Mus musculus: one gene and its partner. The protein of the gene in region 2 purifies or fractionates together with the protein of the main gene of each other region. This does not show direct contact. Links are inferred from orthologs where the notes say so. Each region holds a gene or a part of one and is shown on either strand. Other genes may lie near its edges.

What was found. Proteins that work in one complex are often made in the same cells at the same time.
Region 1: the proteins of Hdac6 (region 2) and Hsp90ab1 purify together in Homo sapiens (affinity purification with mass spectrometry, with the first as the bait; 4 studies listed by BioGRID). This does not show direct contact. The link is inferred for Mus musculus from reciprocal best matches to the Homo sapiens genes HDAC6 and HSP90AB1.

Annotation. Positions count from the first base shown.
Region 1 is NC_000083.6:45,570,156-45,575,173, reverse strand, and holds the start of Hsp90ab1 (heat shock protein HSP 90-beta), read left to right. Parts: upstream 1-1,912; 5' UTR 1,913-2,007; intron 2,008-3,262; coding exon 3,263-3,409; intron 3,410-3,554; coding exon 3,555-3,761; intron 3,762-3,996; coding exon 3,997-4,156; intron 4,157-4,374; coding exon 4,375-4,508; intron 4,509-4,607; coding exon 4,608-4,916; intron 4,917-5,018. UniProt on the Homo sapiens protein: Molecular chaperone that promotes the maturation, structural maintenance and proper regulation of specific target proteins involved for instance in cell cycle control and signal transduction. Undergoes a functional cycle linked to its ATPase activity.
Region 2 is NC_000086.7:7,944,785-7,949,967, reverse strand, and holds the start of Hdac6 (histone deacetylase 6), read left to right. Parts: upstream 1-2,078; 5' UTR 2,079-2,318; exon of another isoform or gene 2,319-2,393; intron 2,394-2,723; 5' UTR 2,724-2,753; coding exon 2,754-2,843; intron 2,844-2,936; coding exon 2,937-3,065; intron 3,066-3,216; coding exon 3,217-3,305; intron 3,306-5,169; coding exon 5,170-5,183.

The DNA of each region.
Region 1 (5,018 bases), on a different chromosome or scaffold from region 2:
TCCATGAAATATACAGAGTAGCTTTCAACCATTCAGAGGCCAAGGAGAGGTAGTCAGTGCTGTTTGTGAACTAGGGAATCCAGGATTGGTGGGTCTTAGGGAAACACTACCCTGGAGCTAAATGTCCAGCCCAGGGATCAGCTAGGCTCCTTTTGCTGAGAGGGTTTGAGTGTTGAAGTTTCTGGTTTCAGATTAGGAATCAATGCAACACCCTAGGGCCTTCTGAGCAATCCTACCCAGTGTCTCCTCATATATTGATTTCTTTATGGGCTTCACACACACACACACACACACACACACACACACACACACACACACACAGAATTAAGGAGAGGCTAACAGACAGTGCAGGATGGGATGATAACAGACGAAGTAGACAGAGGCAAGGAGAAAGCAACTACTGTTTAACAATGAATGCACATTAGACAGACTGCAGGCAAGCACCGGGAACAAAGGTGTGGGCGGTGGTGTGGGGACACAAGCCAGCATGAGCTAAGATAGCAGAGCACTGAGTGCCCATCCTCTACTGGAGGGCTCATCAGTCCAACAAGCTTCCAGATGCAGCCTTGGAAAAAGGCAAGGCTAGATTGCCAGCTGAAGGACATGGCAGGCCACCTTTAGAACAGAGGCACTGGCACAACTTGGTTTTCTGGCTCCTGGAACTGGGCCAACCTGTGACCAGCACCTTCATGCGGATGCCTAGAACTCCAGCTTCTCTGAAAAGACTGGGACCTGCTCCTCTCTAGGTCCAAAGAGCTGCATGCAGTAGGGAAGAGGCTAGAGAAGCGAAACCAGCTTGAGAAACAGCTTGTGCTCACATAGGGAGGGCGCACGTACCCGCGCGCTGTGTACGTGGGAGACCGGGGAGGCTGAGGGGTGGGGAGTGTTCTACCCAGTAGCGCAAGCTGCTAGCTCGGTTCTCTGTTCACTAGAAGGTGTCCGCAGTCACTCACCCCCACAGCCCCCGTGCCCTGTGACCGATCCAGGTCAGCTATCCCTCCCTCTGCGCTCCACTCCCCCACTGTTATGTGGGCCTCTTAGGGCCACGCGTGGAGGGTCGTTCAACCCTGGCCCACGGTAGGCAGACTTGGGGAAAATTTCTTCCCAGGGTAAGATCAAGGTAGGGGAAAAAAAAAAAAAAAAAAAGCCACCCAGCCAAGCGGCGACGAAGACACTGCCCCCGCCGCAGCAGGGGAGGTGGAGCCTAGGGGGGAGGGGTGGAGACCGCCGAGACAGGCCTAGAAACTGCTGGAAGAAATCGCAGCACCACCGCTGCTGATCCTTCCGCCGCAGGCCGCCAAAGAGTCCCTACCAGCCCAGGCCCGTGCCCCTCCCCTCGGGGAAAGCGGCTCCCAGCCTGAAGCTGTGCTGTACCCGGGAGGGTGGGGATGGGGGAATCGGGGGCCTCCTTAAAGTTGGACAAGGAATTTATCATCCTTTTCTCTTGATGTGCGATTTGTAGGGAACATTCTAGTAAGATCGGGTCTGGAAATGGCAGCCGAGTTGGCCACCTCCATTCTCTTTCAGTCCCCTGAGTTCTGGACTCTTGGGGGGTGGGGGGGTGGAAGCGCCTACCTTGAGTTTTCTGAGGCAGTCCGTAGGGTATTCGCCCGCAGATACATCCCTAATTGCATATGCATGCTCCCTGCTCATCTTGAGGGGGGACATGTCCTACTCCTGCAGAAATGGGGGATGTGCAAAACGATATTGAATTGGCCTTGACTCAGGAACCAGGCCCGGGGTCCCGCTCCTCCCCGCCCCCTCCACGATCTGCTACCATGACGTCAAGGTGGGCGGGCGGCGGCAGGTGCGTGGCCCGCAGCCACTCCTTTAAGGCGGAGGGATCCAAGGGCGGGGCCCGGGCTGTGCTTCGCCTTATATAGGGCGGTCGGGGGCGTTCGGGAGCTCTCTTGAGTCACCCCCGCGCAGCCTAGGCTTGCCGTGCGAGTCGGACTTGGTCCGGGCCCACCACCCTGCTCTGTACTACTACTCGGCTTTCCCGTCAAGGTAAGGCCGGGGTCTCTCGTCCCCGGCGGCTCTCCGGGGGCTTCTTCCCGGGGTCCCAGCCTCCATCTCATCTGTCCCAAAGCCTCCTTCCCCGGCGGGGCAGCCTGTGGAGATAACGTGTCTAGAGGTTAGAGGTTCGGGCTGTACCCCGGCGGGCTTGCACGCGAGGCTCCCCGGGGCGGGTGGATTCCCCGGAGCGTGGGGTGGGGGTGCGGCCCGGCCAGGTGGTGGGCGGCCGCACGTGGTAGTCGCCGACCCGGGACGCTGCCATGTTTGCCCTCCACTTCCGGGCGCGGCTGCAGGGTCCGCGCGGTGGCGGGCTGCTCTGCGTGACTCAGCAAGGCCTGGGGAGGTTGGCCTGGCTGCCTCCCCCGGACGCCGCCGGTACCAACGTGCTTGATTTTGGGGAGGGGTGCACAGCAGGGACGCCGGAACCCACCGCGCTTTCCCTTTCCAGATCTTTCTGCCCTCCCAGTGGAGGGCGGGGGAGGAGAGACAGAGCAGGCACGAGAAGATTCCTAGGTCCCTCCCTTTCTCCTCCCCTCCCCGGAGCTCAGATTGTTCTGGAAGCCTGGGCGCCCCGCCCCAGTGCCCGGATGCTGGGGCGGTGGGAGGGTTTCAATGGCGCCCCCTCCCCGTGTGGCTCCTGCCGACGCATGTCCGGCAGTGACGAGGGTCGTTGGACGGCTGGGCCACCATTTTACTTGGGTTCCGGCCTATGCAAGTCTGCACAGTGAGTGGTCACGGTGGAGCTCTTGATTTCTTTGTCCTGATTTAATTGCCCCGTGAGCGCCTCCCAGACTACAGCTTCAAGGTTCTCTTGCCCTGCTGGGTGGAATAAAATAAAAATTAAAAAAGACTGCTTTTTCTGTTAAAGTTGTTCCTCACCCCAATGAGGAGATTGTAGTTAAGGGGTGTGAGTACCAGGGGTTGCTTGAGGTTCTTTTTTATGTATTGTTAACTTAGTCTGGATTTTTACCATATTGCCAGGTGTTCTGTTCAGAGTCAGTGAGCTATGCACTGAACATGCCAATGTTCAAGAGTTTGACTTTTGGGCATCTGTTCTGGAAAACCCATCTTTTAGGTTTTTTTCTGTCATTTTTGTCTTGGCCATTGTAGCTTAAATGTCCTTTTTTAAAGAAAATGGCTGCTCTTGTCTCTTTGGGTTGGATACTTTCCCAGACTAAAGAAGTTTGAGCTGGATATTAAAATGTGTGTCTATAATGGTCCTTAGTAGTAATTCTTTCATTCTTAGATGCCTGAGGAAGTGCACCATGGAGAGGAGGAGGTGGAGACCTTTGCCTTTCAGGCAGAAATTGCCCAGCTCATGTCCCTCATCATCAACACTTTCTATTCAAACAAGGAGATTTTCCTCCGCGAGTTGATCTCTAATGCTTCAGATGTGAGTATTCTGTTGTTGAATTTCTAAGGCTTCACGGAAGTGTGTGTGTGTGTGGGAGTGATTGAGAAGAACAGTTCAGTTGATGTTGAAGGGGGAGGGACTGTTTGGAAAAATAAAATAATCTGGCTTTTTGCGTTTACTACAGGCCCTGGACAAGATTCGATATGAGAGCCTGACGGACCCTTCTAAGTTGGACAGTGGGAAAGAGCTGAAAATTGACATCATCCCCAACCCTCAGGAGCGCACGCTGACTTTGGTGGACACAGGCATTGGCATGACCAAGGCTGACCTCATTAATAACCTGGGAACCATTGCTAAGTCTGGCACGAAGGCGTTCATGGAGGCTCTCCAGGTGTGTGGCCTTTCATCCACACCGTCCTCTAATTTGTTACTGCTTAAGTTAAAATTTGTCTGTCTAGGGTATTACATATTAGGACACTTATTAGAAAAAAAGTACAAGTGGTTGGTCAGGACAGCTTTGACCCCTAGATCTCTGGACATTGAACTGATTGTTACCTTGCGCAGCAGATGGTTATACTTGGCCAAGAACCATGTTGCTGATCCTCTTTACTTCAAACCCTTTGCAGGCTGGTGCAGACATCTCCATGATCGGGCAGTTTGGTGTCGGATTCTACTCGGCCTATCTAGTTGCAGAGAAAGTGGTTGTGATCACGAAGCACAATGATGATGAGCAGTATGCCTGGGAGTCGTCTGCGGGTGGCTCCTTCACCGTCCGGGCAGACCATGGTGAGGCAGCAGGCTACATTGTGGGGAAACCTTAGACGTTGTATTCTATAAAAGTACATTTTAAGGGGTGGTGAGTGCCAGCACTTGGGTGAGTTCTTAAGGCAAGCAAAGGGGCTACACAGGAATCTTAGCTTGCTTGAGAAACCAGGAACGAAAAAAGCGTAGTTCGTTCTTGTATTTTAGTTTCAGTTTTTCATGTCTTGATTTGTTCTCTGTAGGTGAGCCCATTGGCCGGGGTACCAAAGTGATCCTTCACCTCAAAGAAGACCAGACAGAGTACTTGGAGGAGAGGAGGGTCAAGGAAGTGGTGAAGAAACATTCGCAGTTCATAGGCTATCCCATCACCCTCTATGTGAGTATGGGCTTGGCAGTGTTGGAGCAGGCTAATGGCACTGGGCCTTGCTGGTGCTACATTCTCCACAATTAATTACATGTGTCATTGGTGATTTAGTTGGAGAAGGAACGGGAGAAGGAGATCAGTGATGATGAGGCAGAGGAAGAGAAAGGTGAGAAAGAGGAGGAAGATAAGGAGGATGAGGAGAAGCCTAAGATTGAAGATGTGGGATCCGATGAGGAAGATGACAGCGGCAAAGACAAGAAAAAGAAAACAAAGAAGATCAAAGAGAAGTACATTGACCAGGAGGAGCTGAACAAGACAAAGCCTATCTGGACCAGAAACCCGGATGACATCACGCAGGAGGAGTATGGCGAATTCTATAAGAGCCTCACCAATGACTGGGAGGACCACTTGGCAGTCAAGGTGAGAAGCCTTCCTCTGTTGTGTAAGGCAGGGTAGGTAGGCAGAAGCTGGAGGTGGTAAGGAATAACTGGCTCGACTGGTTGGTAGCTGGGACCTGAAAGC
Region 2 (5,183 bases):
GGGATATACAGAAAAACCCTGTCTCAAAAACAAACAAACAAACAACAAAAAATACCAAACAAACAAACAAAAAACCCCAAATGGTTGTTAAGCTGGGCAGTGCTGGCACATTCCTTTAATCCCAGCACTTGAGAGGCAGAGGCAGGTGAATTTCTGAGTTCGAGGCCAGCCTGGTCTATAAAGTGAGTTCCAGGACAGCCAGGGATATACAAAGAAACCCTGTCTCAAAAAAAAAAAAAAAAAAAAAAAAAAAAAAAAAAAAACCAACCAACCAAACAAACAAAAAAACCAAATGGTTATTAAGCTGGGCAGTGCTGGCACATTCCTTTAATCCCAGCACTCGGGAGGCAGAGGCAGGTGGATTTCTGAGTTCAAGGCCAGCCTGGTCTACAGAGTGAGTTCCAGGACAGCCAGGGCTACACAGAGAAACCCTGTCTCGAAAATCCAAAAAGAAAAACCAAAACAAACAAAAAACCCAAATGACTGTTGCTGTTTTGTTTGTTTGTTTAAGAAAGATTAACTGGGCACAGTGTTGCCCAGCTGCTCAGAAAGCTGAGACATGAAGATCCCTTGAGGCCAGAAGTTCTAAGCAGCCTGGACATGAAAGCAAGGTCATTTTTAAAAGAAAGGAAGTGTATCATAAAGATTAGATGTGGATGCAAAGCCTAAGCTATTTGCAATCTTAGCTTTTATAAGGTTTACTGAGCCCCGTTGTGCAGGAACCGTCTCTATTGTTCGGCTGGCGGGCATCACCATCCTAGAATGTTTTTAGGTATTATTATTATTTTCTTTAGTGTGTGTAGATTTAGATAGCCCGTGCTGAGAACATGTTCTGTGCTGAGAACATGGAGGACTGAAACTGGCATTTGCAAGAGGTTCAGAGGGTCTGGCTGCTGGAGTATGGAACTGTCAATCTATTTGCTAGTCAGTGATGCAGAACTCCAGATGGATTCTTTCTGGTCTCTGCCAACAGGTCCTTAGGAAACGATGTCCTTGACATGGGGAGATCAGGACAACTCGGCCACCTGTGGGATTTATACTTAGAAGGGATGGCCATCTCAAAGAGTCACAGGGACAATTTTCCTTCCTCGGTCCACCACATGCTGTAAGTTTGATGACTCGGTGGAGGGGGACAGGTAGGCTGAGCTCCCATTCAGGAGACACTGTCCTTCGAAAGTCCATTCTGGCCTTGGTACTAGCATCTCAATTTTCCAGGTAAGGAAACAGGACAGAACTGTGACCTGTCCAAGATCTAAATCTAAGTCCCCGTGTGTGTAGTCTACAGAGCAGCTTTACAATGCAAACTACCTCACGAAAGTCGGGCTTTCTGACATAGTGAGCAGCCCCACCCCTGCCTCACCTCGTAGAGACTCCTTCCAGTCCCCATTTCCGCTGCAGAACATTAATAGCTAACATTTGGGGATGCTTCTTGAATACCATCGCAGTGGCCACCAGCTCAGAAACTTATCAGCATTTACTATCACGCTCATTTTGGCTGCCACCAGCCAAAGTCTATTATTAGCGTTTATCTCCAACTAGTCACCCGCAGGCGCGAGTTACGTCAACGCCAAAAGCAGCTCGGGAATCTAGCTTCTTTGATTTGTTCTCGAATCACTGCACAACACAACTGATGTGGATCCGTAGGTCTCCTAGGATGACTAGCCTGGACTTGAGACTGGCAGCCATAGCCAGTCAGAACGACCGCAGCGGCGAATGCGGGGGTGGGGTGTGCGTGCGTGTGTGTGGGGAGGGGTGGTAGCGCTAGGGGCAGATCCGGGTCTCGAACTAGGGAGTAGCACCCCACGCAGGCGCAGTATGATCAGTTTCCATGGCCAAGCTCGCGAGAGGTGTGGTTTGCGCCTGAAGCGTTGTGGGCGGACTGAATCCATGTTGGGGGCTGGACGTGGGCGGGCAAATGAAAAAGCTCAGCCCAATGGAAAAGAAGGGATCAGGTGCCCGGGGCCACACAGGTCGCCGGGAATTTGGCGGCGTGAGCCTAGGGCGGAGTTTGAAAAGGAGGCAGAGCTCAGTGAGTAGGGACGGAAGGATTGGCCAGCGTCGGTGGCTGGGCGGGAGATGGGCGGAGGCTTGGAAGGGGCTGAGGGAGCCTGGTTAAACGGTAGGCGTCTGGGAAGGGGGTGGGGTCTGAAGGATTCTGATCGAAAGGGGCAGTCCTCGGAGCAGCGGGGCACGGGGAAAGCTCGGGGCGAGATCTGCGCGAGTGGAAGGCGCTGGTTCGGCCCTGCAGGAGGTGGAGTTGAGTGAGTCTTTAAAGGTGCTGCCGAGGCCGCGGCAGCCCGGTCTGGCGGACTAGAAAGGTGGGTGATTTTTCTGGGGAAATAGGCTGAAGCGGGCAGGTTGCAGAAGCCAAGCGTTCCGGGCGCAGATTAGAGGTATGAAAGGATGTGGGAAGTGGATGGGGGGGGGGCGGTGATTGGGTAGGGCAGGCCTAAGAAGAGCCTGATTGAGCCTGGGGTTACCTCGTTTAGTGAATAGGCAAAATGAGGAAAGAGAATCGGATAAAAGCAGCGAGGTCCAGGGGGACCGGACAGGACCAGGTTTCCTCTAGCAGAAGATGGCCTGGGGGGTGGGGGCGGTTTAGAAGGCTCGGGAATGGACCCGGTGAAGGCTGCGATCTAGACTAGGGGGCGGGGCCGAGGAAGGGACAGGGATGTGGGGTCCTCTGGACACTCCAGCTGCCTCACCAACTACACCTTTGCTAGAGCCTTTCCAGGAGCTGAGGCTCTTCAGCCATGACCTCCACCGGCCAAGATTCTTCTACTAGACAGCGAAAGAGTAGGCACAATCCCCAGTCACCCCTTCAGGAATCCAGCGCCACCTTGGTGAGGCCCCAGACCTGCCCTGATGGGGGGGGGGGGTGGAGGGTGAAGCCAGCCAGCCATGTCCAGACTCTGATTTTTCTGTCTGATTGGCAGAAGCGTGGTGGAAAGAAGTGTGCTGTACCCCACTCCAGCCCCAATCTAGCGGAGGTAAAGAAGAAAGGCAAAATGAAGAAGCTGAGCCAACCAGCTGAAGAGGACCTAGTTGTGGGGCTTCAAGGGCTGGTGAGAGAGACCTGGCTGCAACTTGGCCTTCTTTACCAAACAAAACAGTGATTCCCCCCCCTCCCCCCCCCCATCCAGGACCGATGGTATGAAGTGTTTTCTCTGATTGTAGTCCAGAGTGAATCTGGGTTTCTTTTCTTTGCCCCTGCAGGATCTGAACCCTGAGACAAGAGTGCCAGTTGGTACTGGATTGGTGTTTGATGAACAACTAAATGACTTCCATTGCCTTTGGGATGACAGGTGGGTGAGGCTGGCACCTCCAAATGATCCCCAAACTAGAACATTTCCACAAGTGCCCCTTTCTTCTCACAAACAAGAGTGAATTTTTGCTGCTTCTAGCCTGTAGTCTGGAAGCAGGTGATTTAGGGAGATGGGGATCATTCTTGAAAGATTTCTCTGTTAAGCCAATAAACAGTTATCAAGAGTCTCCTGTGTGCCGAGACTTAGTGATAGATGTGAGCAATAGAAAAGTCCCTTCTCCGCTGGCCGGTGAGTGTGCAGGGAGATCATTAAACCCCCAACAGCGGTATAAACTGTTCAATGAAGACCAAATGACTGGGCACTCCAGGTCTCTGTAGCCTAGGCAGCCTGGAACTCACTATGTAGTCTATGTCAGCCTCAAACCTTTGATAAGCCTCCTGTCTTAGCCTCTCGAGTGCTCAGATTTCCCAAACGAGCCACTACACTTGGCTAGACGTTAGATTGTTAGAGGGTCCTCGCCTAACTAGCAGGAGCCGTCCTTGAGAAGGAGACATGTATGCTGAAAAAACCTCTTATTTGCGCTCTACTTCTTAAAGAAATCTGTTTATTCTTTTTGGCCCTATCTTTAAAATAGATTCGCTATCTGACTTCTTCCCCCTGGTCCCCTGCTTCCAGCCTTCGCATTAAAGCCTAAAAAATACATTTGAGATGACGTTTCCTTCCTTTCTTAAAATACTTCAAGGCCAGAACTTTGCTCTTAAGGTAAAGTCGGCATTCTTTAGACTGGCCTCTAAGGTTGCACAGGATTTGGCCTTTGTGACCTGTTCAGCCAGGCCTCTCCTCACGAGCTCCAGGTCACTTAACGCACGCTGGCCACCTTCTCGTCTTTCAGTGTGCCAGTCACCCTCTCGCCTTGGGTCTTTACCCTTGACTGATTCCTCTTTGAACTTTCACAACTATGGAGACTCACAGAAGCCTTTGACTGGCCACTACCTCTCTCACATCTGTTCTTAGCTATTTTACTAGCCTCTGCCATTGTCTGTTAATCATTACACTGATATTTGCAAATATAGTAGCCGTCTTCCCCCATCCCGACCTAAAACTAACTCATGATGTCAAGAGGCTTTCTTTATGGTACATTTGTTGAGGCTATAGCCGTAAACAAAGCTGCCTTCAAAAGTAACCAAGAGGTGACCTCTCCAGTGTTAGAGTGGAGGAGCTCAGGTGGGAGGGAGAGTGAGGTTTGACTGGAAGGGGTGCTTCCCTTTGGAATACAATAGCTAGGGGGTATTGCTAACATTTGAGCAAAGATACAGAGGGTTGGAGGAGGCTAAAGGACTGAGCCGTGAGTCATCACTGAAAAGACTTCCAGGCGTGAGAGACCGTTGAAGTCCTCAGGCCTAGCTGAAGACAATGTGGTTTCGTTGAAGAGCAAGGAACACATTGCAGGGAAACAAGGTGAAAGAGGAGGGGTGTGGTAAGAAAGACAGAGTCAGAATAGGGATGGGAACAGATTCGGGTTTTCTTAGGCCCTTCTCGGTGTGATGAGAAGTTTGGCTTCTACCGGGAACATAGTCGGAGCTACAAAAGGGTTTTGAGTAGTAGAATTCTAACCACTGGCTGGCTCAGTATACAGGAGGGGCTGTTGGGGGAATAAGTATAGAAGCAGAGAGGGGTTCTCATAAAGATGATGGAGCAGACAGCTCAGACTGGAGGTTCCAACAGCGTGAATGGTAGCGGAGAAAACAAGTATAAAGACTTCAGAAATGACAAAGAAAGGCTGATGTTGCCGGTAAGGGGTGAGCAGCTATGGGGGTGAGGGGCGGAGATGGGACAAGAGCAGACATGCTCCCTAGCACTTTTGCCTATCTGTGTGTATGCGTGATTCCATCCACTCCTGCAGCTTCCCTGAAAGCC